Notamacropus eugenii: one gene and its partner. The protein of the gene in region 1 purifies or fractionates together with the protein of each later gene. This does not show direct contact. Links are inferred from orthologs where the notes say so. Each region holds a gene or a part of one and is shown on either strand. Other genes may lie near its edges.

What was found.
Region 2: the proteins of SLC34A2 (region 1) and ENDOD1 purify together in Homo sapiens (co-immunoprecipitation; 3 studies listed by BioGRID and IntAct, counting the BioPlex papers as one, with this or other methods). This does not show direct contact. The link is inferred for Notamacropus eugenii from reciprocal best matches to the Homo sapiens genes SLC34A2 and ENDOD1.

Annotation. Positions count from the first base shown.
Region 1 is NC_092877.1:78,360,010-78,377,021, forward strand, and holds the start of SLC34A2 (sodium-dependent phosphate transport protein 2B), read left to right. Parts: upstream 1-9,937; 5' UTR 9,938-10,025; intron 10,026-14,467; 5' UTR 14,468-14,524; intron 14,525-17,012. UniProt on the Homo sapiens protein: Involved in actively transporting phosphate into cells via Na(+) cotransport.
Region 2 is NC_092876.1:163,262,206-163,279,084, forward strand, and holds the start of ENDOD1 (endonuclease domain-containing 1 protein), read right to left. Parts: upstream 6,504-16,879; 5' UTR 6,279-6,503; coding exon 5,982-6,278; intron 1-5,981. UniProt on the Homo sapiens protein: May act as a DNase and a RNase. Plays a role in the modulation of innate immune signaling through the cGAS-STING pathway by interacting with RNF26.

The DNA of each region.
Region 1 (17,012 bases):
TTATTTTCTTACCCTACCCCTGCAGTACTTTTTTTTTAAGTTTTAATGCTGATCATAAATTGACTGGCTTTCTTTCCTCTTCCTCATATAATTCTGACTTTTTATATTTTAACATTAAATCTTTTCCCAGGTTCACCATGAGCAGCTTCTCAGATTTCACCTTCTTTCATTGTTCTGAATCATCTCATCTGATCCATCCTTTTCCAGGTACACTATTTCACCCTTTTTATGTAGCAACATGAATATATTTCATGAAAGTAAAACCAACTCTTTTATCACCTTCAAATCCATTCTTGATACCCACTATCTTCATTAAATCTCCATATAGCAAATATACAAATATACCCTCCTTTTTCTTTCTAGTTGAGCATGGTATTTTCTAGACCTGTTACTATGAGGATAAAACTACCTTGGTTTGTTCAAGGTAAAATAAATTACTAACCTAAATTGTATTATTGTGTGGTTGATTGGTTCAAAATATTATAGGATCAGAAGAATTTGGAGTTGAAAGAGGTATTAGAGATCATCTAGTCACTTTATATATTAAAAAAAATTGAATGATTTTTTTGGGGGTCCCACCATGGGTATCCTGGTAAATATTTAACAACATTCTTTCTGGGGGAAGAAGGACTGATACACTTTTAAGTTAAATCTATAATGTTAATACTTTCTTAAATCTATACAATCAACAAAACAAGAAATCAAACTAATTTGTAGTGTTTGATGATTTCAGGGGTGTAGATGCTCGCAATAAAAATTTAATAATCAGCTCCCCACATGAATTTGTTAGCACCAGCTCCAGCAAACCCCTAGGTCTCGTATTTTAGGAGTAACACTGTCATCATAAAGCATACCTAAAAGAGAGTAATCAGCATAGGAATGGGTCCTCAAACCCCTGTAAGATATTCTTTAGAGGTTGTCTTTCTAGGAACAGTTGAAAGAATTGAGGACATTGGAGAAGAGTAGACTGAAAAGAAGTGCTACTATTTTCAAGTGTCTAATATTATAACATGACTTTGGTAGAATATATATATATATATGTGTGTGTGTGTGTGTGTGTGTGTGTGTGTATGTATCTATCTATCTATCTATATAGATAGATAGATACACATATATATTCACACACAAATAGGTAGAAGTTCCAAAAAAAAGGAAATTTTGATTCTCTGTAATTAAGAGCTTTGTATAACAGGACTAGGCAATAATCAGTAGGTTGCTTCATAGTATGATAAGCATTACATCATCATCTTTCAACTTTCTCCATCTACACTACAACCAATCCTAGTTCTAAACTTTGTTTCCTCCTGGGCTATAGCAATAACCTGCTGGATGGTTTCCCTTCCTCAAGTCTTTCCCAACTCCAATCCATCCTCCATAAAGTTGCCAAAGTGATGTTTCTAAAGTACAGGGTTCCCCACACTGTGCCTCTGCACAGGCTTTCTCCCAGTCCCACACCTCTGCCTCTTGAACATCCTAATTTCTTTCAAGGTTCAGTTTAAGGGTCACTCCTCTCCCCTCTCCTGCTCCTCCAGAATGTAAGCCCTTTGAGGGTAGAGAATGCTTATTTGTCTTTGCATCCCCAATTTTAGCATTGCCATTGGCACACAGTAGTAGGACCTTAATACATATTTGCTGAATTGAATAAACAAAATTTAGGGAGAGGTTAGATCACTGTCTTTTGGTGTTGTTACTGAGAAAATTCTATAGCACCTGAGTGGGTAGACTTGATTGAGTTCTTTTTTCTTTATTCTTTTTCTTTTTTCTTTTTCTTTTTTTTTGTGGATTGGGAGAATACAAAGCCAATGAGACAATGTACACAGAGCACATGAAGACTTTTCCCAGGGGAATGGGTAGATGAGAACAATTTGTTCTACCATCTATGAAGGTGGCTGAAGCAGGTACTATGGAGTCATTGAAGACACCAAGGTGATCCACTGCATCCCAGGTCATCGACAATCTTTTTGACTTTTGTGCTGCTACTGGACTTCAATGACTCAGGAAGAGAGAGTGAGATGGATGACTTTGCCACAACTCTGCCTCACTTCGATCCAATTCACAGGCAAGTCAAGAAATTACCCATGATGCCACTGATCCTTTTGGAAAATGAAGGGCAAACAACAGCTACAAAAAGACAGAGAAAAAAGGAAAGAGAGCAAATGCTGCAAAACCTGAACCTCCTCTTCTCTTTAATACCCTCTGAGAGGGATTAAAGTCTGATCCCCTACTCCCTTCAACTCTTCTCTGCTGAAGTATTGGATTTTTAATGTTTAATTCAACTCATTTGGATTGAAGCATTAAAAGTTTGTGCTCTCTAAATTTCTTGCACTGAGGTCAAACTACAGAGGTACCACATAGTTCAATCAATCAATAATGTTTATTGATTGGTTAAACATTTATTTAGCACTTACTACTCCGGGCACTGTGCTAAGTGCTAAGAACACAAAAAGAATCAAAAGATAGTTCCTATCCTCAAAGAGCTTACATTCTAATGGGGAAAAACATGCAAAAAACATGCAAAGCAAGCTATATTCTGGATAAATAGGAAACAATTAACAGAGGGAAGGCACTGGAACTGAAGGACTGAGGAAGACTTCCTGTAGTGGCTTTTATTAGGATTCCCATTTTACAGATAATGAAACAGAGATTCAGAGAAATTATGACTTGTCTAAGGTATCAGAGCTAGTAAAGGTTAAGGTTCAAACCAAGTCTTTTGACTCCTTGTCCAATTCCCACTATGTCTTCTTTCCCTGGAGGGGTTTGGACGTTGGTTTGCTGTTGATTGAAAACCCTCAAAAGGCTGTTGTCTTATTGTGAGTTCCTTGCCCAAAGAAACAAATAGAAATGGTTCCCACAGTGGTGATCCCTCTCTGCCCTGATTGGAGTTCCTTATTTGGTTCTGCCATAAGTGACTAGACAGTGAATGATTGGTTAAAGGCATTGGAAAGGCTATCAGCTCTTGTGAGGGAGAGAGCTTTCTGAATGCCTTTAGTGGGAAGAGGAAAAGATCAAAGGGACATTTTCTCTAGTTGTCAGGAAAAAAAACCAAACAAACTCAAACAACTTTTTTGTTTGGAAGCCAGGCTCGCTCCTACTGCCTTGTGTTTCCCTATAGGGATGGAAGGACTTTTCCCAGCCCTGGGACCCATGATGATCGAAATTCTCCGTGGTTCTGGTTTACTATGCCAGGTGAAAGCACATCCTTCAAAACCCAACTGTTGCTGAGTATTTTCTCAGACTCTGTTGTGTCTGACTCCATCTCACTCTCTCTTCCTGAGTCACTGAAGTCCATTGGCAGGACAAACATGTATCCTATCAGACAGGTGGGGAAGATGTGTTCAATTCTCTGTGACCTTATTTGGGGTTTTCTTGGACAAACCATTGGTTTGCCATTTCCTTCTCCAGCTCATTTTACAGATGAGATAACTGAGGCAAACATCTTTAGGTGATTCGTCCAGGATTACATAGCTAGTAAGTGACATAGCTAGTAAGTGTCTGAGATTAGTTTTAAACTCTGGAAGAGGAGTCTTCCTGACTCCAATCCTGGCCCTCTACCTCTACAATTCTATTTAGCTTCCGTGGCCTATCCCAGCCCAGAGAAATCTCTTCCTTTTCTGCCTTTTAGACTTAAGACATTTACCATTCAGTGAAGTGCTTCATCACAGACAGTCTGTCTCTAATAATAGCAGCCAATTAGCTCTTTACCTTGTTTGTAGATTTTGCTGATATATAATACTGTCTTTGTTTCTTAATCATTTCAGGTGTGTCTAGCTCCCTGAAACACTGTAAATTCCTCATGGGCAATGACCACACCTCTTACTTTCTTGTATTCCAGGATTTCAAAAACAGGGCTAGACACATAATCTTTGCTCAATAAATATTTATGATTTGAGGTAATAGCCCTCTGAGAAGTTGACTTTTTTTTTTCTATTTTCCATGGAGAACTTTTTAACTATCACAGCCATTTTCTGACATATTGTCCCCCTATTCTACTGACCCCCCCCCCTTAGAATAGAGAAAAAATTAAGCAAATTAAATGGAAAAGTAAGCAGTGGATATGTCATGTTATGACCCATAGTTCCCCATCTGCCTGACAGGATAAATGTTTCATCCTATATTGTCTGGAACCAATATTATTTATTTCAATTAATTAGAGCTGACTTTTACATTACTATTTTACATTATTATACGTGATTTATATTATCATAGTCTTCATGTGTATAGTTTCTTTCAGTCTGCTTTCCTGTTTGTATCACTTCATAGAAGATGTCTAAATTTTATTGTATTTTTATTCTGAATTTGATAAACTCCAAAAAGATGAACATTTCCACTTAGAAGTTATAAAGGAAAAGAGGATTATATGTGAATCTTCAAATATATGTTACATATAGGTTTTTTTAGAAAAATGTATATAATAAATTCAACATATTACTTTTAAAACTGCCGTGCTTTCCATTCTCTTCTGTGCATTTTAAATTTCTTTCCTCCCTCCCTCCCTCCCTCCCTCCCTTCCTTCCTTCCTTCCTTCCTTCCTTCCTTCCTTCCTTCCTTCCTTCCTTCCTTTGTTTCTTCCTTCCTTCTTTTTTTCCTATCACTATCTCCCTTTTGCCCTCCTAAAATTCCCCCATGGAAAAAAAAACACAATCCTCCTGACAAGTAAGCATAGTCAAGCAAAACAAAAACCACATTCTTTTTAAAAATCACATTTATTTCTAAATATATCCCTTTCCCTATCCAATAAGCCTTCCCAAGTAACAAAAATTTTTTTTAAAAAATATTTCTGCCAAACCAATCAATATGACTACATCTGACAGTGTGCAATGTTGTATCTACATCCATAGTCTCACTTTTAGGATTATAGGCTTTAGAGCTGAAAGAGCCTCTGAAAGTCATTAAGCCCAACTTCCTCAATTTTCAGATGATGAAATCGAGACCTAAGGAGGTTAAGCAACTTGTTTAAGTTTACATAGTAGGAGAAATGGCCTTTGAACCCACAACCTTTGACTCTGGTGATTTCATTTTTTAAAATTCAATTTTATTTTATTTTCGATTCCAAATTCTCTTCTCAATTCATTGAGACGAAAAGAAACAAAACTTATTACAAATATGTATAGTTATGCAAACAAATTTTCTCATTAGCTGTTAAAAAAGGCAAAAAAAAAAGGAAAAAGAAAAAAAATTGACTTCAAAATGCACTCTGAGTCCATCAGTTCTCTATCTGGAGGCCGTGAGCATGCTCCATCATGAGTCCTTTGGAATTATAATACAAATAAAGACATTTTCAATGCTCAGAAATGTATGTCTCTTTTCTGAATCTTGAGTCCATCAGCCTCCATCAGGAGGTGGCTGGTGTGCTTCATTATCCATGTTCTGGTTTCATGGTTGGTTACTACATATGCAATGTTACACATTGATAAAAGTCCTTAAGTCTTTTAAAGTTGTTTTTCTTTAGAAAGTTGTTTTTACACTATAAATTGTTCCCTTGGTTCTATTCACTTTACTCTGCTTCAGTTTGTATTATTTTCCCCAGATTTCTCTTAAATAGCCCATTTTATCTTTTCTTAAAAGTACAATAATATTCTTCTGTTCCATCTATATACCATAATTTGTTCAGCCATTTCCTAATTGATGGGCATCTCCTTCTCCCCTCCCCCAGTTCTTTGCTGAAAAAAGAGCTGCTATAAATATTTTTGGACATTTGAGTTCTTTTCCTCTCTTTTTGATCTCTTTGGGATTTAGACTTCACAACTAGTTTAGTGACATTTTGGGTGTAGTTCAAAATGGTTCTTTAGAAAGATGACCAATTCACAGCTCCAATAACAATGTACTCATTTTCCTATATTCCCTCCAACAACTGTCATTTTTTCTTTTTTGTCATCTTTGCCAATCTGATTAATATTGGTCTTCAGGTTTTCATTTCTTTTTCTTGAATTATTAGTGATTTGGGTCATTTTTCATATAGTTGTTAATAGTTGGGATTTCTTCTTTTCACTTCCTTGACCATTTCTCTATTACAGAATGGCTCTAATTCTTATAAATTTGGAATAGTTCTTTATATAGCTTGAATACCAGATCTTTACTGAAGGAATTTGCTGTAAAGATTCCACCCCCACCCCCACCCCTGCCATTACATTTCCTTTCTAATTTTAATGACATTGTTTTGATTGTATAAAAACTTTTCGGGGGTAGAGCCAAGATGGCGGAGTAGAAAGACGCTCCAAACCCACAACCCATAGAACATCTACAAAAAAGTAACTCATGGCGAATTCTGCACCCAGAGGCCGCAGAACATTGGAGCAAGGGAGATTTCTGTTCCAGAGAGACCTGCAAACCTCTCTCAAAAGGTCCTTCACGCCACGGACTGGGCGCCAGGACTGGAAGCTGAGTACAGCCCTGCCGCAGCCACGGCACTGAGAGGAAAAGATCCGAGCGGGCTTCAGGGACGGAATCTCCAGTGGCCACATGGGTCCCTCCACCCAGAGGTGACAGGGGTCGGTGAGAGGGTCTCTTTGGCGGGTCGAGAGGGGAGTGGGGTGCCCCCATAACTCAGGCCCCCTCGGGAGGCAACAGCGGAGGCGGGAGCAGACAAGGGCTCCCCAAGCAGGCAGGAGCCTGGATCCATTGTTGAAGGTCTCTGCATAAACCCCCTGAGGGAACTGAGGCTGAGAGGCGGCCCTGCCCCCACCTGAGCACCTGAACTTAATCACACACTGAATAGCAGCCCTGCCCCCGCCCCCACCCAAAGCCCTGAGGCTGGAGAGCAGCATTTGAATCTCAAACCCCAAGCACTGGCTGGGAGGATCAGGAGGCGAAGTGGGTGTGAAGAGAATATTCAGAAGTCAAATCACTGGCTGGGAAAATGCCCAGAAAAGGGAAAAGAAATAAGACTATAGAAGGTTACTTTCTTGGGGAACAGGCATTTCCTCCCTTCCTTTCTGATGAGGAAGAACAATGCTTACCATCAGGCAAAGACACAGAAGTCAAGGCCTCTATATCCCAGCCCACTCAATGGGCTCAGGCCATAGAAGGGCTCATAGAAAATCAAGTTAGAGAGGTGGAAGAAAAGCTGGGAAGAGAAATGAGAGACATGCAGTCAAAGCATGAACAGCAGATCAGCTCCCTGCTAAAGGAGACCCAAAAAAATGCTGAAGAAAATAACACCTTGAAAAATAGGCTAACTCAATTGGCAAAAGAGGTTCAAGAAGCCAATGAGGAGAAGAATGCTTTCAAAAGCAGAATTAGCCAGATGGAAAAGGAGATTCAAAGGTTCACTGAAGAAAATAGTTCTTTCAAAATTAGAATGGAACAGATGGAGGCTAATGACTTTATGAGAAACCAAGAAATCACAAAACAAAACCAAAAGAATGAAAAAATGGAAGATAACGTGAAATATCTCATTGGAAAAACAACTGACCTAGAGAATAGATCTAGGAGAGACAATTTAAAAATTATGGGCCTACCTGAAAGCTAGGATCAAAAAAAGAGCCTAGACATCATCTTTCATGAAATTATCAAGGAAAACTGCCCTGAGATTCTAGAACCAGAGGGCAAAAATCAGTATTCAAGGAATCCACAGATCACCGCCTGAAAGAGATCCAAAAAGAGAAACTCCTAGGAACATTGTGGCCAAATTCCAGAGTTCCCAGGTCAAGGAGAAAATATTGCAAGCAGCTAGAAAGAAACAATTCAAGTATTGTGGAAATACAATCAGGATAACACAAGATCTAGCAGCTTCCACATTAAGGGATCAAAGGGCGTGGAATAGGATATTCCAGAAGTCAAAGGAACTAGGACTAAAACCAAGAATCACCTACCCAGCAAAACTGAATATAATACTTCAGGGGAAAAATTGGTCTTTCAATGAAATAGAGGACTTTCAAGCATTCTTGATGAAAAGACCAGAGCTGAAAAGAAAATTTGACTTTCAAACACAAGAATGAAGAGAAGCATGAAAAAGTAAATAGCAAAGAGAAGTCATAAGGGACTTTACAAAAGTTGAACTGTTTACATTCCTACATGGAAAGACAATATTTGTAACTCTTGAAACTATTCAGCATCTGGGTACAGGGTGGGATAACACACACACACATGCACACGCACACACACAGACACATAGAGACAGAGTGCACAGAGTGAACTGAAGAGGAGGGGATCATATCTTAAAAAAATGAAATCAAGCAGTGAGAGAGAAATATATTGGGAGGAGAAAGGGAGAAATGGAATGGGGCAAATTATCTCTCATAAAAGAGGCAAGCAAAAGACTTATTAGTGGAGGGATAAAGAGGGGAGGTGAGAGAAAAACATGGTTTACTCTCATCACATTCCACTAAAGGAAGGAATAAAATGCACAGTCATTTTGGTATGAAAACCTATCTTACAATACAGGAAAGTGGAGGATAAGGGGATAAGCAGGGTGGGGGGGATGATGGAAGGGAGGGCACGGGGAGGAGGGAGCAATTTGAGGTCAACACTCATGGGGAAGGTCAGGATCAAAAGAGAGAACAGAAATAATGGGGGACAGGATAGGACGGAGGGAAATATAATAAGTTCTTACACAACACTATTATTATGGAAGTCATTTGCAAAACTACACAGATCTGGCCTATATTGAATTGCTTGCCTTCCAAACGAAAGGGGTGGGGAGGGAGGGAGGGCAGATTGGCAGACAGGGGCAATTAGAACGCTCGGTGTTTTGGGGTGGGGGGAGGGGACAAAAGGGGAGAAAATGTGGAACCCAAAATTTTGTGAAAATGAATGTTAAAAGTTAAATAAATTAATTAAAAAAAAACAAAAAAACTTTTCAATTTGAGTAATTTTCAATTTAAGTGATCAAAATTACTCTTTTATTTTCAACAGCAATGGACATTTCCATCTAGTCAAAAACCCTTTATCCTCTCTGTTGATATAGACATTTTCTTTCTTAGTCTTTTAATTTCTTCATGATATGACCTTTTACATCTATGTCTGCTTCTCAGTTTTCCCAGCAGTTTTTGTTGAGTTGCTATTTTTCTGTCTGTATTATTCCTGTATATTGTATATCTAATCTGTTCCACTGGTTGAAATTTTTTAGTTTTAATGCGTTACTAAATAGTTTTAATAATGACTGCTTTGTAGTATGGTTTGAGATCTGATTATCACAAGCCTCTCTTCAGTTACTTTTCATTATTTCCTTTGAGAATATTGACATTTTGTTCCTACAGATGAATTTTGTTATTTTTTTCTAGTTTGTAATGTAATCCTTTGGTAATTGATTTGTATGACATTGAATAAACAAATCAATGAAGTAAGGTCACTTTTATTATAGTGGCATGGCGTAACCATGAGTAATCAGTATCTTTTCACTCATATCTGTAGTTCTGTAGAGTATTTTGTAGCTTTAATCATATAATTTCTCTATGTGTCTTGGTAGGTGTGCTCCTAAATAGTTTATATATTCTGTAGTTATTTTAAATTGAATTTCTCTTTCTATACCTTCCTGCTTGGATTTGTTAATAATAAAAATGCTAATGATTTATGTAGCTTTATTTTATATCCTGAAACTTTGCTGAAGTTATCATTTCAATTAATTTTTAGCGACTCAGAAGAAGTCTTTAAGTAAACCATCATATCATTTGCAAAAGCATTTTGTTTCTTCACTGTCTATGCTTATTTCCTCAATTTCATCTATTCAATTTAAATTACCAATTCTCTTGGCATATAAGCAGGTGAAATTACTTCTAAAAGCTAGCATTTTCTAGCACTGTATCAAAGAGTAGTTGTAGACATCCTTGTTTTATCTCTAAAACTTTTAAAAAAGCTCTAGTTTATTTTCACTGGATATAATGCTGACTCTTGATTTTAGTTTAGGTACTATTTACTTGTGTGTATGTGTGTGTTTTTGTGTGTATTTTAGGAGAGACAAAGTTTAATTAGTATCAGCTGATGGGAAGTTGCCAGGTGGCTGGCAATTAGGCAGAACAAAGAGAGATACACACAGACATATAAGATTTTACACAGTCCGAAAACAGGCAGAGGAATGAGCCTATCAGGTGAGGCTGTTCAGCCACTTTCCTTGTTTGGGAAATTGAGAAATAGGGACAGAATGTCAGATGATTTAGGGAGGGAATGTCTTAACCTTGGGCTTGTAACTTGTTAACCTTGGTGTTACCAAAAATCAGGTCTGTTCTGTTAGTGAAATTACCTTGTGGTTACTCTCATCAGACCATTTTGGTGCAGCAGGAGGTCTCTAGTTAATTTCATCAGAACGTCTAGGAGGGACCAGAGGTCTAAGACTGTGTCGTCCTCCCTTAGTGTTGGTTTCTTTTTTTTTTTTTAAAGAAATGGGTTTATTGGAAGTTTTTTCTGCTTTTATTAATTTTGTGATCCTTAGTGTTTTTTGGTTCATTACGTTGACAGTTTTGTTAACGTTGAGGGTTTTCTTAATACTGTAATTCTTAATATTGCATTCTTGGTATAAAGCCTATTTGTTTATAGCATACAATATTTTGATGATGTGCTGCTATAGTCTCTTCATTAATACTTCATTAAAATTTTTGAATCAATTAGGGATATTGGTCAATAGTGTACTTTGTTTTGTCTTTCCTTGGCTTCAGTATCAAAACCAGAATTATGCCATAGAAAGAATTTGGTAACATCCTCTTTTTCCTATTGCAAGTATGTCCTAAATTTACATTATATAATATTATAGTTCATTATTCTTTGAATATTTGATAGAATTCATTTGGAAATCCATCTGGTCCTAGATTTTTTTCCTTTGGGAGTTTATAGCTTGTTTAATTTTTTTCTCTGAGCTTGGATTATTTTAATTCTACATTTCTTATTTTGTTTATTTGGATATCATATGTATATATATTTTTTTCTTTTATATATGTTTAACACATTTATCTATTCAATTTAAATCGCCAATTTTTTTGGCGTATAAGTAGGCAAAGTGATTGCTAAATTTTACTTTTTTCCCTTCATTTGTTGTGAATTCTCCTTCTTACATTTTTAAACTAGCAATTTGGTTTTTCTCTCTTTAAAAAGCTAAGCTAGTTAATTGTTTATTTTATTTTTTAAAAAACAACTACATTAACTCTGTGTGTGTGTGTGTGTGTGTGTGTGTGTGTGTGTATGTCTGTGCGTGACTGCGTGTTATCTTTCAATTTAGAAAACTCTTTGATTTTTGGAATTTTTATTTTGGTGGATAATTGAGATTTTAGAATTTGTGGGTTTTTTCCAGTTGTATGCTCACTTTATTGAACTGTTTTTTCTCCCTTTATTGATAAAAGTGTTTAATGGAGATATAATTTTTCCTCTCAAGACTCCTTTAATTGCATTATTCCAGTTTTTGTCATTTGTCATTTGTCATTTTGTCATTTGGCATTGTCATTTTCTTGGATGAAATTTTCTGTTGTTTCTATGATTTGTTCTTTGACCTACCATTTCATTAGTATTAAGTTATTTAGTTTCCAATTAATTTTTAATCCTTTCTTCAAAAGTCCTTGAAAATTTTATTCCATTTGTACTTGGTAAAATATGTGTTTAATATTTGTCTGTCTTTGTACTTGTTTGTGAGGTTTTATACCCTAGAACATGATCAGTTTTTGTAAAGGTGTCATTCACAGCTAAGACTATGTGTACTTCTTTTTGTTCCCTTCAGTAATTGCCAGAGATCTTAATCTCCAACTTTTCTAAAATTCTCTTCAGATCCTACCTTCTTTCTTGTTTATTTTTTTTGTTTAGATTTGTCCAGGTCTTAGAGAAATATGCTGAGATTCCCCACTTTTTCAGTTTTATTGTCTATAACTTCTTGTGCATTGACTAATTTTTCCTCTAAGTATTTACTTGCTATATCATTTGGTACATTTATATTAAGTATTCATATTAATTTACATCTATGGGGCCTTAAGTCTCATGTAATTTCCCTATTTATCTCTCTTAACCAAGTCTATTTTTCCTGTTGTCTGAAATCATGATCACTACTCCTGCTTTTCTGAAGTCACCTGAACATAATAGAGTTTCCTATAGTCCCTTATTTTAAAACTTTCTGCTTCAGGTATGTTTCTTATAAAACATATGTAGTGAATTTTTCTTTCCAGTACATTGTGCAGCTCTCCTCTATATTGTAAGTTCATCCTATTCACATTCACACTTATAATTCTTAATTATGTATTTAGCTATATCTCATCCTGTTATACCTTTCCCTCCCTTTCATCCAAACTGTGACTCCTTGGTACTACTTGATACAAAATAACTTTGAAGTTATTTTCAAAGGATGGCTGATAGAGTCTTTTTTATGTTCATTTTCTCCTTTGGTTCTAGTAGGTCTCAGTAGTTTTCATTCATGAGTTCTTTAAATATGGTATCTAGACTTTTTAGGGACTAAGTTTTTAGGGAGTCTGATGAATATTAAATTAATTCTCTTCGACCTGTTTTCATGGTCAGTTTTTGTTAGGAGATGTCTTAAATTTTCTTCTTTTTTTTCAGTTTGAAAATTTTGTTCCAGTCTAATCTAATCTAATTTTCAGAGTCTGTTACTTGAGGAATGTTTAGTACCTCCTGTAGTAATATGTTTATTCTCCTTACAGCTCTTTCTTCTGGAGTGGAGTTCTTAACTTACATGATTACATAATCTTGTTTTAAAATTTTTCAATTACATAATCTTATTTTATTTCAGTATAACTGGTTTCCTATTTAATGCCATGCATTTTTCTTTTATGCATTTAAAAACAATATTCTGAGTCCATAGGTTTTTCCAAACTGACAAAAGGCTCCATGACATAAATAAGGTTAAGAACTTATACTCTAGAGCTTATTTTTCTTTTCTGTTCTTTTCTCTAGAACTCTCATTTCATTTATAATGGGAAGGGAAGAAAGGGAATAATAATTCATGTAGCTCCTATGTGCCAGGTACTGTACTAAGTGCTTTATAAATATTATCTCATTTGACAATTATAATATCATTCTTTAACTCTTCCTCATTTTTTTCCCAGGAATTCCAGTAACTCTTGTGGTAAATCTGTCATTTTTCTTGTCTTTTTCTTATACATGATGTATAGTTTATTTTCTCTTCTGGGTTTGTGCCTTGGGTATCCCTAGCTCTATAATATTTATCATCAGAGTTTTCTTCTGTTTACTCCTTTTTCCCAAGTTTACTTCCTGTAATATGAATTTGTATCAGGATTTTTTGAGCTTCTAAATAGAATGGATGGTATCTTCTTTGTTACTCCTCTATATTATGGAGGTTTCAGTAATAGGCCCTGTGTTTTTCAAATACCTCAGGATCAACCTCCAAGGCAGTCTGTGTGGGTGTTAGAGCAGTTAGAGCCTCCTAGGCTCTGGCCAGAGTTACAGCAACACAGCTGCAGGGTCCAGGAATCCCTGACTACACTCAAGTTTGAGGTCCTCTCTTCTGTCCTTGAGAACAGTTATAGGCTTTGAGCTTCCCTGTTGTTGTTCAGTTGTTTTCACTTGTGTCTGACTCCTCATAACACTATGTGGGATGTTCTTGGCAAAGATTACTGGAATGTTTTGCTGGACTGTGTCCTTGGATATTACTTTTCACCTTGCTGAGACACAGTTTCCAAATCTATAAAGAAACAGAGTTTGACACTATGATCTCTAAGGTCCTTCCAACTTTGGCATTTTATGATTCCCATTCTGCAGTTCCCTGATGAGACATAGGTTAGGTTGGATGGCTTTAGATGCCCCTTTCAACTCAGAATCTGTGATTCCTGAGGGAGGAACCCATGACTGATTAACTCAAGTAGATCATGGAGGAGTATATTTATGGCACTAAATGAAATGATTCATTAAAGGTGCATGTTCAGAGAGGGTGGGGTCAAGAATAATAAGTTTTTGTGGAATAGTGGATTGGACACTACATGATCAGATTTATAACTTTTTTCCATAGACACTGAAAAATAATAAAAAACATGCTCTCCAGATATCTGTAGATATTACTCAGTTTCTATCTTATGGATAAAGCTGATTGCATTTACTAGTATTGCCAGCAAACTCCTATGACTATAATTGCTAGTCAAGGTTCCCCTTCAGATCATTTGCAATCAATTAAGTTTATTGCTCCAATAGGTAGCTTTGTATCAGAGAAGTTATTCTGTCTGCTCTGGATCTTGAAAGTGAACTGTGCCCCAAATTCAGGAATTAAGAGATGCTGGCTTCTGCATACGTGGAGCTGCACTGCCTATGGAGGAAGATGTCAGGTAGAAACCTGTGCTCCAGGCCAGTCTCTTTTCCTCTGTGATTTTCTTCTGTACATGCCTCTTTTATTCAGATGAAAGTCATTTCTGTTTCCAAGGGGCAAGACATTAAATGGATAAATGAAAATGAAAATGGATAAATGACAGCTTGGTTTAGTAGATAGGCTAGATTTGGCATCAGGAAGATAGAAGTTCAAGTTATTTCATGGCGGCATACTGCCTTTGTGACCAGAGGCTACTCATTTAACCTCTAACACTATAAATTACAGAGGATGCTGCCTGTGTCCCGGGAGGGAGGAAATTTCCGTACCAGGAATTCTTCACAGGTAAGAAGAACAAAAAGGAAAAGAAAAGAGGAAGAAAACAGGTATTCCATGACCTTTATCTACCAGGGAGACTACGTGCTTTGGACAATTGACACAGCTGAGTGGTTGCCTGGCACATAATAGGATATATCAATAAATGTTTATTGTCTGAGCTTGAGCTAAAAAACACAGAAATTCCACTACTCATAGGGATGCTATATAATAATAGTATCATGTATAATGATAGTTTAATGTAGAAAATAAAAGTATATAAATATGAAATATTTAAATATATCTATAATATAAACCTATTAGATATATTTATATAACAAGTATACATGTAATATACAACAGAAATATATTTATATGATATAACTATATAAATAGCGCAATATAAATATGAAATATTTATATAAAATGTAATAATGGATAAATATAAAAGTAGTATTATGGTACTATCTTCTAATGCCAATGATAGTGATGACTATGTTCACATGATATTTTATAGCTGATGACATCTTTTCCCATAGCCTTTTAAACTGATTCTCATGATTAATAGATAATGTAACTATTATTCTTTCTGGTTTGTAGACGAGAACGTTGTAGTTGATTGTGTTGGGCTATAAGTGATTTCCCAGGACACCAGGACATAACCCAATGGACGTCATCATCATTCATTAGTATAGAACTTTATGCTTCTCAAATGCTGTAATAGTTATAAGATTGCCCATAAAGCAACCCTGTAATGTAGCTCATTAATATTGTCCTCCTTGGTCCCAGAAAGGTAAATTAGAACAATCAAGGAAGAAGTGTTAGAACTGGAAGTGGAGCCCAGGTTTTTGTACTCCTAGTGGATCAGTGTTCCCTTCCTCCAAATATGTCTGCTTTCACAGACGCACATGAAATTCCTTTCATTGAAGGAATTCAGAGATCTTTGCAAATATTCATCACTCCCAACAGCACCCTTTTGCCATGGGAGGGTTTAAATATTATTAAAACTTCCAAGTGGCATTTGCAAGAAGAGTTAGATGTTTCTGATTTTTACTAACTTGACTTAAATTTCTTCTGCTAAATTTGTTAATTTTTTTTGGGAGGGGGGCAGAGAGAAACTGTCTGAACTTTATTTTTAGTGGGTCCAGGAATTAAGGAGGAAGTTTCCTTTGAAAGCCTTTCTGATTAAATTTGTCGCCTCAGCAATTTGCATGGTCCATCAGGCAGTCAATCAACAACATTTATGTTCTTACTATCAGCAGGTCATATAATATGGGAAAAGCAGAAGTAATTTTCTCTCTTGCTGATCCAATGTTCATTAAGATGTTTGAAACAGTAGAGGCTTTGTTAACAGCAGGTTTCATCTGATACAGGAGCTTCCTAGAAAGATTAATGTTCTCTTAAATGGGAGAAAAAAATCCCTTCCAGGGATGAAACCAGAAAAACCATGGAGAATTATTTTTTTTCCTTTAGCTTCTGCCAATCTGTCTGAAGACGAGAATTTCTAGTTCTTACCTGAACCTAGTGCATGCTGGGTAACCTGGGGGCACATAGGGCAGTATTATAGTTGCTTCCTGAACTCTTTTTGAAGTAATCAAGTTAGACATCCAACAGACTATAAATGAGGAGTTAAATTCAGCTATTCAATTGGAGTAGGTGCTGAGCAGCTGCGTTAGATTCTAAGGGGTCTAATCAAAGAGGGAGAAGGGTAGTCCTCACCTGAAAGGAATTAACTAATCTAGTTGGGGAGATAAGGTAACCTTATTAAACAAATGACAGAGCAAAGACAGTTTGTGATTAAATGTCAAAATGAGTGGTGAGGATCATCGTTGAAGGGTTTCAGAAGAAGGAGAGGTCATTGTCAACTGGAGTGGCCTTCAGAACTACATGGAGGAGGCAGGATTTGAGCTGTGCTGAGAAGGATGCTGAGGGGTCTGGATGAGTGGAAAGGATCATTGGAGGACAGTAAGGAGACTGGTCAAGCTGAAATTATGTTCAGATTGGGAAGAAGATTATAGAATTAGACCTGGAAGGCTATCTGATCCAAACTCCTTATTTTAAAAATTTGGTAGGTGAGGCATGGAAAGGTGAATGTGACTGAAGTCCTATGGGATACCAGTAGCAAAATGTCAAGTTCAGGTCATCTTTCCTGCAGAAAGATGCTTCCAGCCAGTGAGGAGAGGCAGATGAGTTTGGATAGCTAGGGTAAGCTCAGATTGTTTGAGTACCTTTTTAATGAATCCTTTTTTAATTGTGGCTTCACAGTTAGTGGTAGATTGTGCTTTGCCTCTTCTTGTCCTGTCATCTGGTATAATTATGCCTGGAGTAATCTAAATTATGTAAATCTATATCCATATCTAAACGTATAGCTGGATAGATGGGTGAATGTTAGAATAACCCTTTTAAGATCAATGAATTTACAATGATTCTTTATAGGTCATCTAGTCCAATGCCTCTATCTCATAGAAGAGAAAGCTGAGACAGATATACTTGCCCAGAGTCAAATACGTGGTACAGC
Region 2 (16,879 bases), on another chromosome or scaffold:
ATCATTCCCTTTTCAGCAATTGGCTTCTTGATTGTTCAGTAGAGAGAGATAGGGCAAATAGAGCTCACATTTTCCATCAACTAACTCATGCCTTCATTCCCTAACTATCTACCATGTACCTCTTCTGTTCAAGGCTCTGTGCCGGGTATTCTAAGAGATCATGGGATCAGTCTGAATCCCTCATTTTGCAAATGAGGAAACTACACACTGATGGCAGTTCAACGACATGCCTAAGATGCTATCAGAGCATCTTTGTAATGGCTGGCTGGTCAATGAGGAAGTCATTTTTGGTGACATGCTCTTCAACCCTGCTGAAAAGCTTCCTTTTGTCTTCCTTCTTAACAGCTAGCTGATCTTCATATGCTACTTTATGGTTTAGGAAGCCCTTTACAGACATTATCTCATTGGATTTTCTCAACAAAATAGGGGTAAATTATAGTTTAGTAGTAATACTGTTCACTGGAGTCTCAACAAAAGCAACATTATCTTTATATTTTTAAACAGCTTATAACCATCACCTGTCTTCTTCTCCAACCCCCAGTGGCTATTACAAGTAGAAGTGGGGGAAGTTGTGGGCGTCTTCTGTCCTACTTCCAGTAGTCCAGAGACTAGAAAAAAAATTGAATCCTAGCAATGGGAAAGTGATGTCAGAATACTAGATGCTAGTTCCTTGTGTTTCAGATCCATCATGGAAGACTATCTGCATACACTTGTCTTCTCCAGCATGCTCCTAAGTCGCATATTTTACAGGGTTTTTGGTATATATATGTATATATGTATTCATATACACATATATATGTGCATACATATATACATACATACATACATATATATATTTTCTCAGTTTCCATGGTGAAAGTTATAGAGTCAAAGGTCTACAACTGGAAGATACCTCAAAGATCATCTAGTCAAACCTTCTGAATTTTTAGAGGAAGGAACTGAGACTTTAAAGGGTTAAGTGACCTTCCCAAGGCCACAGGTTGTGTCAAGAGGAATCAAGTCTTCAGTTAAGCCAAGGTTTGTATTTGCTCCATCAAATAACACTACTTTCCTCATAGCAAGTTTTCTATTTTCCTATGCCTCCAGAAGGTGCACCCTCTCCCTTTCCCCCTTCCCCCCTCCCAGATTTTCCTTTGGTTCAGTCAATGTAATTGAAAAGATCTAGCTCATTCAAAGATGTATTCCCAGGGTTCTCTCTCTGGGAACCTGAGATCCACAGCTCTGTCACTGACTCACTCAATAACCTTAGGCAAGGGCGAAGCTTCCCTTTTGTCTTTGTTCCTCCCCTGGATGATGAGGGCCTAATAATAATGCTGACCTCATAAAAGTGTGTCCTAGGTTGAAGTGATTCACAGTCATGAATTATTTTATGCCAAACAAAATGTGAACCTCAGAGCTAAGTATCTCTCTGTAATGGAGCTTGATATTAAAGTCCTACCTAAAATATCACCATCTCTAAGAAGTCTTTCCCAATCCCCCTTAATGCCAGAGGCTTCCCTCTGTGATTACATCTAGTTTATCCAGCATATATCTTGTTTGTACATGATTGTTTTTATATTGTCCCCCTTCTTTGCACCCTCAGTGCTTAGCAAAGGGCCTGGCACATAGTGGGTACTTAATAAATACTAATTGACAAATTGACCTTAGTGGGCATAAGACATAGGGAGCTGTTATGTGTTCTTCAACTCTGTTGAAAATCATATTGCTTTTGTCCTCCTTCATCATAGCTAGCTGATCTTTGTATCCTACTTTATGGTTAAAAAAGTCCTTTATGGATATTACATCATTTGATTTGCTCAACACTCTTGTGAGGCAAGAGGTTTGTGTCATCCCTTTTTCCAGGTAAGTAGACTGAGGCATAGAGCAGTTTAAGTGAATTGTAAAAGTCAGACCACTGTCCAGTGGTAAAACTCAGGTTCAAACCAAGGTCTTCTGATTTAAAACTCAGTGTTCTTCCCATACCATACTACAGTTGTTCCTCAGAACTCATAAGTGGCTTCCTATTGTGGCTAAGATAAAATGCCAACTCTGTGGCACATTTAAAGCTTTTCATAATTTGGCTCCAGCTGACCTTGCCAGACAGATTATGACACAGTCCTCCCTCTTACACACCTTCTAACCAAACTGGCCCTTCTGATGTTTTTTATACGCTGCATTCTGTTTCCTGATGTGCTTTTGCCAGTGCTGTCCCCTGATTGTTGTCCCTCCTCAGCTCTGCCTCCTACAGCAGAATTCCTAGCTTCCTTCAAAGCTGCCATCTACCATCAACTAAGCAATCAATTATTTTTTTAAAAAGTTATTAAATGTTTACTATGTTCCAGGAACTATGTTAAGCATTGAGGATACAAAATAAAAAAAAAAAAGCAAAAACTATTTCTGCCATCAAGAAGCATCCAAGGGAAAAGCAACATTGCAAAAAGCTAGGAACCTAGAAAAGATATAGAAGGCAATCATCTCAGAGAGGAAGGCAAGTGGGAAAGGTTTCCTGGAGAAAGTAGGATTTGATCTGAGATTTGAAGGAAGCCAGGGAAATTAAACAGCAAAGGTGAAGGTCGATAGGATTCTAGTCATGGGAGGACATCAATTGCAAAGGCAAAGAGATAAAAGACATTGTGTGTAAGGATGGGATCCCTTCCATAGTTAATGTTCTTCACCTCCCCTCTCCCCACAAATTATGTTTTATTTACCTTACACGTACTGTGTATTTACTTCTACGAGTATATGTAGCATCCCCCCTCCCTCCCTCCAGTAGAATATAAACTCCTAGAGGGCAGATCATGTCTTGGATTTTTTGACTTTTATATCCCCGATTCCTATCACAGTGCCTGACACATATTAAACCCTTTAACAAATGCTTCTTGACTGATGAATGAATGAAAGAATGGCTGCATTCAGAAGTCTGGCTCTTAGTTAAGTTGTCCACAGAAATGGTTCTTGGTACAGCATATATGGCTTGCAGGCAGATGCAATGCCCTTAGCCAGTGCAGGTATGAGGCACCATATAAGACATAAAGTGTTCTGACCTAATTAGATACTTGGATCAGACACAATGCTGACTGAGGCAGGGCTTGGGTATCTCTGCTCAAGTAGCCAAATTCTCATCATGCTCTACAGTACTCCAACAAGTATATCACAAAAAGTTAACTTCTAATTTCTAGAAAGCACAGAAGGAATCAAGAGCTAAGAAATTATCTAGTCCTTTAAAGTAAAGGCAACTTCAACTATCTGAAGGACTCTTCATCTCTAGCACAGTGCCTGGAACGTAGTAGCTGCTTTAAAAAACTTGTTCAGTCAGCTTCACTAAACATTTATTGGGCATCTACTATGTGCTGAGCTACAAGTTGAAGATACAAAAAAAGATAAAAGACAGTCCCTGCTTTCAAGAACCTTCCAGGCTAAAGGGGGAGACGACATGTAAATAAATCCCGACTATTAAGTGAAGGGGAATTAGACTTACGTGCTTGATCTCCAAAGGCAGAACTAGGATCAGTAACAGAAATTGAGGGGAGAAAGATTTTGGCTCAGTATATCAGCTAACCACCTAACAACTGGAGCTGTCCAAAAACAGAATGGCCTATCCCAAGCAGCAGCAAGTTCCTTCTCAATAGAGATGCTCCAGCAGAAGCTGGATGCATGTTACGTTACATGGATGCATGCAACTTGCCAGATGTTACAGAAGAGATTCATGTTTTAGGTAAATGTTGTTCTGCATGACCTCTAAGTTTCTTTCCAAATTTGAAATTTCTTTGATTCTATGAAATGCAGTCTCAGAGATACTAAGCAATTTGTCCAAGGTTACATAGCTTGGCACAGAGGCAAGGACACAAGCACGGAACCAGGACGTTAAACCAGGTCTCCCAATTCTTAGACCTTGTACTTTCCAATACCCGCCACTACCATGTACTTCCTTATTTAGCCTTTTGGAAATTCTCAGCCTGCCCTTGGAGTTCCTTTATCAACTTTTTCCCTCTCTCAACTATCTCATCAACCTTTCTTTTCATTATTCCCCACTACAGACTTCCTATTCTGACTAGACTGATCAGCTTACTATGTCCTGTATGTAATTTGCTTGTTCCTGATCTTATCCCTTGGCAGATGTTCTTCCCTTCACCTGGGACCACCTCCTTCCTTTGTCAGCCAATGCCTCTTGCACTCCATTCTTACTCAAAACTCACCTCCTCTAGAAAGTTTCTGAAGGCCCATTCCACTCTGATCACTTTTTTCCTCTCTGTGTTTATGAACACATCGTGTTTCCTGTGTATTCTTATTCCTTTATATCTTCCTAGTATGGGATGGTGGAGGAGAGGTGGCTTCTATGGTGATGTATTTATACAATGAGCACTTAAAAGATATTACAAGATAGCAGCTATATTTCAAGGCTTCCAAATAAACTCATTCTAAGAATGGAAAACCCAGATGCTTGTCTTGGTATTCATCTGGGTGGGGCTGGAGGGGGTACAGGCTATGGAGATCAGGAACAGGTTGGGCTAGGGTGTGTTTATTACATCAGAAGGCTTGGGAAGGATTTGGCATCAAGGTGGACAAGGGTAAGAAGGTTGGGCAAGTGGAGAGTGATGGGAAACCCTGTCTCTAGGTGAGGAGTTATTGGCTTCTGCAAGAGGGAGAGACAGTGTTTGTATGTATGTGTGTATGCATGTACATGTCAATACCACAATGCCTTAGAAGTAGTATACCAGGTTGGGGAGAAGGTATGGGACAGAAGGCTAAGTGTGGAGGGCCATTTCAATTCCTCTGGTTGGCTGACATAGCCCACTGCAGGGGGTGACTTGACAGATGAAGGCTTGATTTCTGAATCCTTGGGGTTGATACTGAAGAAATGAAGAATTGGGGACAATTATTTTGTCCTTCTTACCAAGCCAATAGGTAGAGACATTCCCTAGGCCTTTGTTATTCCTTTTTTTAAAAATCCAAAAGTTTCTTAAATTTTTTTCTCAATTTGACAATTCCTGATATTTTCCCAAATGTAGAATGGGAGATAAAAATACAATGAATAACAGGAAACACTCCTCCAAATTCCAAAATTTCTTCATTGTGAAGAAATTAATACCTCATAACGTCTCTAAGTTGAAATCATTGTGCATGTTTTTGTTTTTAAGCCTTGTGACCAAATGATCTTCCTCTTCTTTTTTTTGTAAATAGTATTTTATTTTTTCCAATTACAAATACAATCATACTTTTATCCCTTTTCCATAGTGGAGCAGAGAAAGCACTGAACCTGAGTTCAAAACCTGGCTCTATGAGATGCATGATCTGGGACAAGTTCATTAACCTTTTTGAGCCTCAGTGTCCTTGTAAAACAGGGAAAACATAATAACACTCGTATGACCTATTTCACAGGAAAACAGCTTGTAAACTGTAAAGCAAAGTATGCATGTAAGGTAGTATCACATGGGACCTATACTAGTCGAGTACCTTATAATGTTGTATGTGCATCATCATCCATATAGATAAATTTCTGTGTAGAGCAGTGGATCTTAACCTTTTTATATGTGTGTCATGGACCCTTTTGGCAGTTTGGTGAAGCTTATGGACTCTTCAGAGAAAAGTTTTAAAATTAAAAAATAAGCATAATTAAATATGTAGGATTACAAAGGAAGTCAATTATTTTGAAATACAGTTATCAGAAAAAATTAAAAGTGAGATCAAGAAGAATCTCTCAGGGAACCAAATGGTTCCTCTCTGCATTTCTGAATGTTGCAGGGACTTGGATGAAATGTTATAAAGTTTATGAGCTGAAATTCCAATTTTCTTAAGCAGAGTAAAAAGGCTTAGGGGTGAAGGGGGAGAATTTGAATTCAGGTAGGAGGAAGGCAATTTCTGGCACAGCGTTTCACCGGGCAGTGCCCATCACCCCTCATGTTATTTAGGCCCCCTCCCTCCTTATTCTGAAGCAGAAGGAATTGCCGGTCTTCTCTTGTTTGGGTCCCACTGCAGAATATCTACAAAGCTGTTTGACTCACCTGGGGTTCGATCATCCAACCCTGCTCCCTACTCTCTCCAGAGACAGCATATCGAAAAGCCGAGTAAACAGGTATCTTTTCTTGGGTGCTGTACAGGGTAGCAAAGCGCTCCTTGCCGTTGTATTTTTGACAGATTTTCACGTGGAAAGGCTCAGCCAATCCTTTAGGCGGGGTCTCTTCATAAAAGAACTTGTTACATTCAGCAAAACCGGCTTCATCCTCCCGGATAATTCTGCCCTGTATGAGCCAGGAGAAAACAAAGAGGCTGCAGAGGAGAAGGAGAGATGCTGGTCTCATGTTGGACTTCCTGAAATTCACTGTGCCCTCCTTCAGCTCTGTGGGCTGGGGGCTCTCTCTGAGAGGTCTGAGACTGGAAAGCAGCAGAGGAGCCCTGCAAGTGGATTGGAATCTGGGAATGGTTTACAAGGGAAATGAAATTCGAAACCCAGCCCTTCCCTTCTGGGAGTGGACTCTTTCTACAGGCAGGGCACTGCCAAACTGCATGGAAGCTGTAGGGTGTCATGGGCTGCAGAGACAAATCAGCAACTGGAGGCTGTACCTTTGGGTTCCCCCTCAGGAGATGGCTTTAAGGACTTGGACTGCAGCTATCCGAGTGTGTAGAGAAGGAAAGGCTTCAAGGAAGGTTGAGTCCTAGGAGATAAGGGGCGTGTGTGTGTGACGTTGATCCCAATGCTCAGGATATAAATGTCTGAATTTAGAAAATTCAGAGTATGAGGATACAAGCCTAGGTTCTGGTGCATGGCACATCTTTCCTGAGAAAGTGCTGTCCAGAGCTAACACGGATCTAAAATGTAGCGTTAACTATAGACTGCACGGTAAATGCATATGTAAAATAGTTACATAGTTGTTCTTCAGTGGAAAATTTCAGAGAAAAAAATGAAATGCAAGGAACAAGACTGATTTTTATGTGATACATAGAATTTATCTCATTATTTTACAATTAACCCACGTATGTACACCTACACCCACACCCACCCCCCCCAGACCCCCCCCTCCCCCACACACACACAACCAGGTACCTGAAACTGCCTGGAGAATGGAAGAACAATTAGCAATTTCCTAACTCTCATACTTCTATCTAAAAGATAACCATTAGTTAATTTACACTTATTTTTCTTCCTCATAAGTGTCAGTACATGAAAATCATAGACAAGGGTAAAGGTCATAGGCGTTAGTCCTCTAGTCAAAATATAAATAAATCCCCTCAAGAATAGTTTAAAGAAGTGGTGCCCTAACTTGTTTGAAAATTTGGCTTAGAAAACTCGCTCCTTTCTGAGTAACACATTCCTTTTTGAGACTGCTCTAACTACTTGGGAGTTTCTCATTTACTAAACCACAGCTTCCATCCGTTGGTCACAGTATTGAATAAATTTTGTGTTCTTTCTGTGAAATGCAAGCAATAAAATTCAAGCATACTCATGGAAATTCAAACGCAATATAATTCATCCTGGTGTTTCTCAAAAGCTGTATGGTACTCATCCTTGTAACCACATGCATTTACAAGAGTCTCTCCAATCATTCTTAGCAAGCTACAAATCCTCCCAGCAAAGAATTAGTGCCACGAGCAAGAAGTTTGAGAAAGATTTGAGTTATTCTGATAGTCTTAATGAGGTGAAAAGGTTTAGACTTAAACCAATTATTATTTGAATGCTTTGGGTACAATAAGCCATATTCAAAGCTTAACCTTCTTTCCTCTGGCGTGGTTTTTGATTTCCCACCTTTATGACAATCCATATACCTCCTCTACTTTGAAGACTCTGCTGGAAATTTGCCTCCTGTACAAAAGTCATACATATGGCTCCATATGTATGTCTCCATATTATGTTCATAGCTAAATCGTGGTAATTTAAAAACAAACAAACAACTTTTCAAAGATAAATTGTTTTAATGCCACATCACTACTCCGATTTTTTCCATTATGGATATATATGTGTGTGTGTGTGTGTGTATGTATATGTATATATATATACATATGTTCATATGTATATATAAATCAGGTGGCTAGCATATGTATATACTGGGGAATGGAAATGAAATAAGCAATAGTAACAAAACCAGATTTAATAATGACAATGCTGAATAAGGGCTAATTTATTAAGCTTTTATTCATTTTGCTATTCCTGAAATATCTTACTTGGCTTAATTTGTAGAATACTGGTGAACAAATTAGCATTTGTAAAAAATATTTAGGCAACAGATTTAAAGCATTTGAGATAATTAAGGGAGCTGAGAAGGTGGAAATTATACCATAACACAGGCTTTATTTTTCCAGGAAAGACCAAGCCCAAGAAAACCAGACTTAACCGACTGGTGGAAAGGAGGAAATGGTGTGCTGAGGTAAGAGGATTAAGTTCCTGCCAGACCTTGAGCCCTTAAAAAAAAAAATGAGTCATACTCAACTGAAATGTGGGAAGAGATATCTTTTTTTCCAGACAAACTGAACCAGAGGTCGTGGTGATGTTTAAAACTAGTCTCAGAGAATTAATTTTAGATGAGATATCTGGCAGGAAGACATTCTCTCTCTCTCTCTCTCTCTCTCTCTCTCTCTCTCTCTCTCTCTCTCTCTCTCTCTCTCTCTCTCTCTTTCTCTCTCTCTTCTTCCTTTCCTCTCCCCCCTCTCTTCCTTTTACTCCTCTTCCTCTTCTTTTGTCCTCTCCCTCTATTTAACCTGCATTCTAAGAATATATCAGATCTGAGAAACTTTCAGAAGCTATAACACATAGACAGTATTCATAATTCATTACTGAATTATATCTCCAAAATGTCTTATAAACTTGAGCAAATCATTTCACCTCTCTGAGCCTCAGTTTCCTCATTTAGAAAAATGAAGGAATTGCACTGTGACCTCTAAGTTCTCTTTCAGCTCTAACATTCTAAGCTTCTATGAAAAGAATCTAAAAGTCTTCATTAGTTCTTTGGTAAAATCTTGGAAGCCAGAGGCTAACTACAAACAAGAATAATTTTGACCAATTCAAATATCAAAAAATATTCTTCCCACCCCTTTATCTATAACCTCCTCTAGCGCAGGCATACACCTAATCTATCCAAACAGATGTCAACTTTTCTTCATTCCACTACCAAAACATACTGTCATTTCTACCTCTTCCCCCAACCACTGTAACTGGCCTAGTTCAAACCAATACTATCTTCTATTATTTCAATAAGCTTCCAATGGACCTTCTGTCTACTAGTTTCTCCCATCTCCAATCCATCTAGCACATTTGCTGCATATTTTTAGTACAAAACTCTCAGATCACATCACCTCCTCTCCTCAAAAACTTTCATTGACTCCCCATTGTCTATAAATAAAATACCAGCTCTACAGTCTAACATTCTAGGTCAGTCTCATTCTGGCTCCAAGTTACCTTTTCAGCTACTCTCCTTTATGTATATTATATTAGAGCAAAACAAACTAATGATACACCCCCATTCTCATCCTGTCCTTCCCTGTCCCCTCCCTTGTCTTTCCTCTTGTTATCCCTTTGAAAGTGGCAGAATAGATAAAAACTGGATTTGGAGTCAGGAAGATCTGAATTCAAATCTTCCTTCAGGCATTTGCTTAACTGGGTGACTCTCTTAGCCTCAGGTTCCACATTTATAAGATGAAGTGGTTGGATCTGTTGCTTTTTAAGGTCCTTTCCAGCTCTAAATCTCTGATTCTATGAATGCCCTCCCTGCTAATCACCATCTTTTTAAATTCTTTCCTTTCTTTTGAGGTTCAACTCTGGTATCATCTTCCTCATGAAGTCATCTCTTCTAATCTGGAAGTGACCTGACACTTCTTAAATTTTTGATAGCACTTTGTATGGAAATTAGGTTGACTTTTTAAAGTCTTATCTATAAAGTACGTATTTATGTACATGTCTTATCTTTATTACTAGATTATAAATTCCTTGAGAATGGGATTGTGTCTGATTTCATTTTTGTGTAAACAGCACCCAGGAAAATATATCTTAAGAAAATATGTATTAATGTTTAACTGAATACCCTTTTCTAAATATATTATTCTTCATATTGTCTGTTTTCCAAGAATTCCCCAATAGCCGCCAATGGGTCTATGGTGTTTTGCAGGTACAAAGGACTTTATTTATATACTGTCTGGTTTAAGCCTCACAACAACTGAGTTATTATCCCTCTCTTGATAGATAAGGAAACCCAGTATCAGGGATGTATATTGACTCACCCCAGGTCAAACAGCTAATATGTGACAGGTGGAACTGACTCAAAGTCCTGTGCTATTTCCAGTATAATATAATTCCCTTTATATCAGCCATTTTATCTTCTTATTCATGGATGAAGCAGTTTATTTCATGGGTGTGAATGGTATTGAAAACTGACCTACATGACATGATTGGGTGCTCTCTGGGCTTCACTCCCATTTCCACAGTCCAGGGACCTTCAAAGATGGCATCTTTCAGGGTATGCTGACAGCAGGGTTGGGAATAGCTGCAGGCAGTATAACTGCAGTGATCTTCCCACCCATCTCTGATGCTTCCCACACTTATGACTTTGGGAAAGTCATTTAATCTCCATGGGCCTCAGTTTCCTTCACTGCAAAAGTACAGTAGATGGAATATAACCTGACAGAGAAAGACATTAGTAGCTGGGAGACATGGAAAGGCCTTCTTCAGAAGATGGTGTTTGAGCGAAGTCTTGAAATGAAGCCAAGGATTCTAAGAGATGGTGAGATGATGGTGTTTCAGGCATGGAGTATAGCAAGTGAGAAGCCTTGGAGTCCAGAAATGGAAAGTCTTGTGAGGAATAGTGAGTAAGAGTACAGTTGGATCATGGTATATGTGAAGGGGAATAAAGTGTGAGATGGCCAGAAAGATAAGAAGGAGACAGGTTGTGAAGAGCTTTAAATGACAAAGGATTTTATATTTAATACTGGAAGTAATGGGGAGACACTGATGTTTATTGAGTAGGAGGTGATATGGTCAGGCTTTCACTTTAAAGAAATAATTTTGGCAGTGGTGTGGAGGATGGTTTGGCATGGACAAAGACTTGAGGCAGGGAAACCAGTTAGAAGACCTTTATAATAGTCTGATCAGGTCAGTGTCCTTTCATGAAGCTTGAGAGGGTAGTTCAAGGATACTTTCTTAAACCCAATTTCTTGTGTAAAGGAAAAGGAGATAAGAGAATGCAAATGCCCCAAGCAATGATCCCAGAATCAAGACTTCTAGCCAGAGAAGGAAGATATTCTGGGAAGCAATACCTCAAGGCATTGAGAGATTTCCCATGGAAACTCATGCCAGAAGAAAATATGTGCAATTAAAATATGTGGATTCCCAGATTTGAGAATATCAAGTTTGGAAGCTTCTAAAAGAGAGAGAAGATTTCTTTATCTAACACTGTTCTAGGGAAAAGAGGATAGTTCCTATGCAGTGTCTTTCATGGAGAGCAAAGCTGGTGTAGGTTCAATGAGAGAGGTATTGTTTATTCAGCAACCTCCAAGGTATGTTTATCTTCTGAGGTCAAGATTAAAACATAGAGTAGTGCAACAAGTTTTGGGGGTAAAGTATCTGTAGGAAAGGGACTCACTGATGTGTCAAAGCTTTGCTCTGATAATAATCCCAAGTTCAGCTACCTTATGAGAGGAGCTAATGGGCTATTTGACTGTTTTATGTGGTTCTGTTTGCTAGCTCTTGAAAACTCTCTTGCTGGCTTCTACTTAGGGCTTCAGCTTGATTCTGAAACTTCTCCAGAAGCTTAGCATTGTTTAGGAATTCTTCCTCTGGGTTCAAAAAATTTAGTTCAGGAGTTCTTCTGCCTGTCTAGGAAATTCTCTATCACACACATCATCACTACAATTTCACTGCTACCAGCTCACATTCCTGCAGCCTCCTTCATGGACTGGTGTCTCCTTCTGCTCCACTATTGTCTCTACTCACTGCCATGGAGCTCCACCTTCTTCTGGAGTCTTGTGGTTTGATGAGGTATGTGGTCCTCTGAAAACTCATGAAACTGGGCTTTAATCCAAGAAATTGAAGTATGTCTATCTAGTTCAGCCATAGTCCAATTCTCCAGCTATGTTTGGTGGCCAGCCATCTTTTAAAAGACCAAGTCCAAGGCTAGCTCAAGCCAACCTTCATACACTTATGGCTCAATCTTTTCAAAGAATATGTGCTTTAAAGAACTAGTGAGTGAGTACTCAGGATAAGGTGAGTTAACAGGTCATCAAGGAAATATCATCAATGCCAAACAAAGGAGTAATCAAGTTAACCTTGTTTAAAAGGAATTAACATTGTCAAGGGAATCTCTCTACATGCCTGTGCAACTATTTCGGTAAATAAAGCTGAAATTCCATAAGCCGAATAATTCAGGATTGACAAAGTATGAAGCTCTTTTTCAGCCTTCTTTTGCTCCGTTAAAAGAGTTTCCTAATGTGTTTTGTTTTCACATTACAACTATTTACAGATTATTCCCATTTTATGAGGTCTCTTGAAACAAAATAAAACAGTTAAGTAAGATTAAAAATTAAGTGATCTTATCTGAAAGTGAAGGCAACATTTCACATAGCATCTCTCTGCCCTTCATATTTTTAAAATGAACAGAATTCTGTTTTCTCTTTTTCATCTTCCGCCCCATTGGAAAGAAAGAAAAGGAAAAACAAATTTTTCTTAACAAACATGCAAAGCTAATAGTCAAATAAAACTAATTCCCTCAATGGCTGTATGTGAAAATGTATTTGTTTCATTCCTCCCCCTAAATCCATGACCTTTGTCACAGATAGCCTGTTTCATCACTGGTCTTGTGGAATCCTGAATGGTCATTGCATTGATTACACCTCATTTGTTTGTTTTTATGATGTTGCTGTTATGCTATAAATTGTTCTCTTAGTTCTGCTTATTTTATTTTTCATCAGTCAATAAAATAGTTCATTTTTATAATATTGATGTTATAGTGTAATTTTTTCTTCCTGTTTTGCTCACTTCACTCTGTATCAGTTAATACAAGACTTTCCATGACTTTTTAAAATCATCTCTTTCCTCGTTCCTTACAGGAGATTACAATGTGCCACAATCTGTTCAGTCTTTCCCAATTGATGGGCATCTCCTTAGTCTCCATCACAAAAAGAGCTGCTACAAATATTTTTTGCACATAAGGACAAAAAAAGATCTTTGTTTTTACCAGATGCCTACAGATAACAACAGCATAAAGTTATTTTTCCTATATGTGCAGAATTAAAAATGGAAAATGGACTTCCTTCAGTAATCATTTCATCATGTTGTTTAAGGGCTTAAATCCATTACTATAAAAATTTGGCACTGGGAAGGAAACAAACAAGCTTTTAATAAGCACCCACTTTGTGCCAGGCACTGTGCTAAGTACTTTAAAAATATTATCCTCACAACAACTCTCAGAGGTAGGTACTATCATTATTATTCCACTCTACACTTGAGAAAACTGAAGCCAACAGAGGTTAAGTGACTTATCTCACAGTAGTATAGAAAGCTGGATTTGACCTCAGATCTTCCAGACTCCAGGTCCAATGTTCTAACCACTGAACCACCATCGCTACCTAATGTTTTTTATTGTATTCATCCTTTCTTGCCAAAGAAGACCATGCCATCAGAGAAATGATGACATGACTTGCACTTGACTTTGTTTTGAGTGAGGGAGGGCTATGCAGGTCACCAGCCTCACTTCTCCTCCAGAGCCATCTGAATCCAATGACCTGATATTCACTGGAAACCACACGACCAAAAATCCATTACATAAACATGTGTGTGAACAATGTTAGACAAATATAAGTTGCATTCCCACCTCTCACCAAAAAAAGAATTTGTTGCTCAGTTGTTCTTCTTCAGTCATATCCAACTCTTTGGGACCCCACTTGGGGATTTCTTTGAAAAGATGCTGGAGTGGTTTGCCATTTCCTTCTCCAGCTTATTTTACAGATAAAGAAACTGAGGCCAACAGGGTTAAGTGACTTTCCTGGGGTCATACTTGCTTAGTGTCTGAGGTCACATTTGGACACATTTGAAGGTCAGGTCTTCTTAATTCTAGGTTCAGAGCTCTAGCTACTGTACCACTTAGCTCTCCATTTCCCCCCGTACACCCCCCACCCAAATTAGTTTGTATAAAATCTCTTGTAGACTGTCTTATGACATTGTATTAAAGTTTTTCATCCTGCATGCCCCCCTCAACAACAGTCCCCAACAAAATAATGTGATATGACAAGAACAGGCTGGAAGATGACTGAGTAATATAATATCTGATTGATTCTTAGATTTGTGGGATAAAAGGCTTATAGTTCTTCTACTAAAAAAATGACAATGCTAGTATTAGAAGAATCTAGATGACTCCTGATCTCTGAAGTTAGAAAAATGACTGAATCATGAAAATTAGTTACTTCAGGTGGAAAGACCACACAGGTTCAAATCCTTACTGTGATTGCAAAAAAGTCCTTTGAAGCAATACTCATTAGGTTTCATCATAAGGATACATAAAGATGAAAAAATTCAGAAGCTTTGAGAGGACTGTCAGAGACAAGTTCTCTCTCCCCTCCTGTTCTCCCCCCCCCCTTCCCTGTCTCCTCCCCTTCCCCTCTCTTCCTCTCTCTCTCTTCCCCCTTTTCCCTTCCTGCCCTTTCTCTTTCCCCTCTGCCCACCTCTTTCTCCTCCCTGTGGTGAGTAAAATTGTAGCATAGGCAAGCTGAGATACAGTTTTCTCCAGGGCAAGATAACAATTTTTTAACAGTGACAGGTAAACTCTTAGTAATATAGCTCACACTGGCCCATCTCAACCAAAAAAAACAAGTATCTAAGTATGATCAATTTATAAATTAGGTTAGCATTAACCAATACATTATGTCAATAGCCTTTCTCAATGACCAAAGACCCTGAGTAAGAGTCAATAGGGTCCTTTAAATTTAGGTGTGTCTCCCTTCTGGTTGACTTGACAGTACATCATATGGACTGCCACTGGCAAAGATAAGACAATCTCACTTGGTAGACATTTTAATAAGGAGGTGAGTTAAGAGTTACCTCAGCTCCTCTCTACTACTTCCTCTTGGGAAAGGAGTAATTTTTAGGTGATAAGATTAATCAGATAGATAGATAGATAGATAGATAGATAGATAGATAGATAGATAGATAGATAGATAGATAGACAGATAGATAGACAGACAGACAGACAGACAGACAGACAGACAGACAGACAGACAGATAGATAGATAGATAGATAGATAGATAGATAGACAGATAAAGATGACATTTAGTTGTTTCAGTCATGTCTGACTGTTCATGACCCTATTTGGGGTTTTCTCGGCAAAGATACTGGAGTGGTTTGCCATTTCCTTCTCCAGCTCATTTTACAGGTGAGGAAACTGGGGCAAACAGGGTAAAGTGACTTTCCCAGGGTCAAAGAGCTAGAAAGTGTTGAAGGCCAGATTTGAACTCTGTTATTCCTGACTGCAGACCTGATGTTCTATCCATATTGCCACCTAGCTGCCATATGATAGGAATATAAATTTTGGAGAAGTGGCAGCTGTGCATCAAGCTCATAGTTGCCCATAATAATGAATTTACTTTCCAGAGTTACGAGTGTCAGGATGCTTTTCCAATACTGTAATTAGTAGAGTAGGCTATACTTGTTGATTGATCAATTAATGTTTGACTATTGATAAATGACTGACTGCATCAACAGACAGGAAAAAGAATGGCTGATGATGTGAAAATTATTTCGGAAACAGTTGCTAATACAGATCAGAGTAGCAATTGGAGCAAAGGTTAAAAACAAAAACAAATTAGGGAGGAAAGGTATATTTACATATTTACTGGAAAAAAAGGTGTCAAACTAAGAAAATGGGGAATAAGCAAAAGTAATGACATGAACCATTTTTCTTAGAAAAATGTAACCAATAGAAAAGTTGATACAATTGAGAAACTGAAAAATCTCAGAAACCACTTCAACCAGTAAACACTTCATCTTCTTGCCATATGGAGAGGGATCTGACTGAGAGGGCAGCACTGGTTCAGAAATAAGCTAATTTGCCAAACATTGTGGAGGAGACTAAGGGAAGATCACAAGAAGTGTTGCCTCAGGTAACATTAAAAAAAAATTGGTTAAAGAAAAACAAGTCTGCAGAACTTGGCAGGAGACCTGGCTAAGCGAGATTCTCCTGAGTGTTCCCGTGAAAGAAAACTGCAAGGAAGACAACAATCATATAGGAAATGGCATTTGAGCTGAGGTTTGAAGGAAACTAGAGACTCTAAAAGGCTGAACTGAGGAGAGGTATTCCTTCTCTTAAATTAGGTAGTATGTGTGTGCTCGTCCTTCATTGCCAAAGAAGACCATGCCATCAGAGAAATAATGACATGACTTGTACTTGACTTTATTTTGAGTGAGGGAGGGCTATGCAGGTCACCAGCCTCACTTCTCCTTCAGAGCCATCTGAATTCAGTGACCAGATATTCATCAGGGTGACTGGAGATGACCCAGGATGAGGCAATTGAGGGTAAGTGACTTGCCCGAGGTCACACAGTTAGTGAATGTCAAGTATCTGAGGTGAGATTTGAACTCAGGTCCTCCTGACTCCTGCACTGGTGCTCTACCCACTGCACCACCTAGCTGCCCCTCTCAGTAATACGTGTAAAATATCTTGAAAACCTTAAAATGCTATACAAATTATAGCTGTTGTTGTTCTAGGCATGGGGACAGCCAAAAGGTAAAACCTTTTTTTACATAGTACCTACTAGTGTCCAGCACTCTGTTCAGCATTTTTATAAATATTTTATCATCTGATCCTCACAACTCTGCTAGATAGGTGCTATTATTATGCTGGTTTTTACACACTTCAGTTGTGCCCAACTCTTTGTGACCCTTTTTGGGGTTTTCTTGATAAAGATATTGAAGTAGCTTGCCATTTCCTT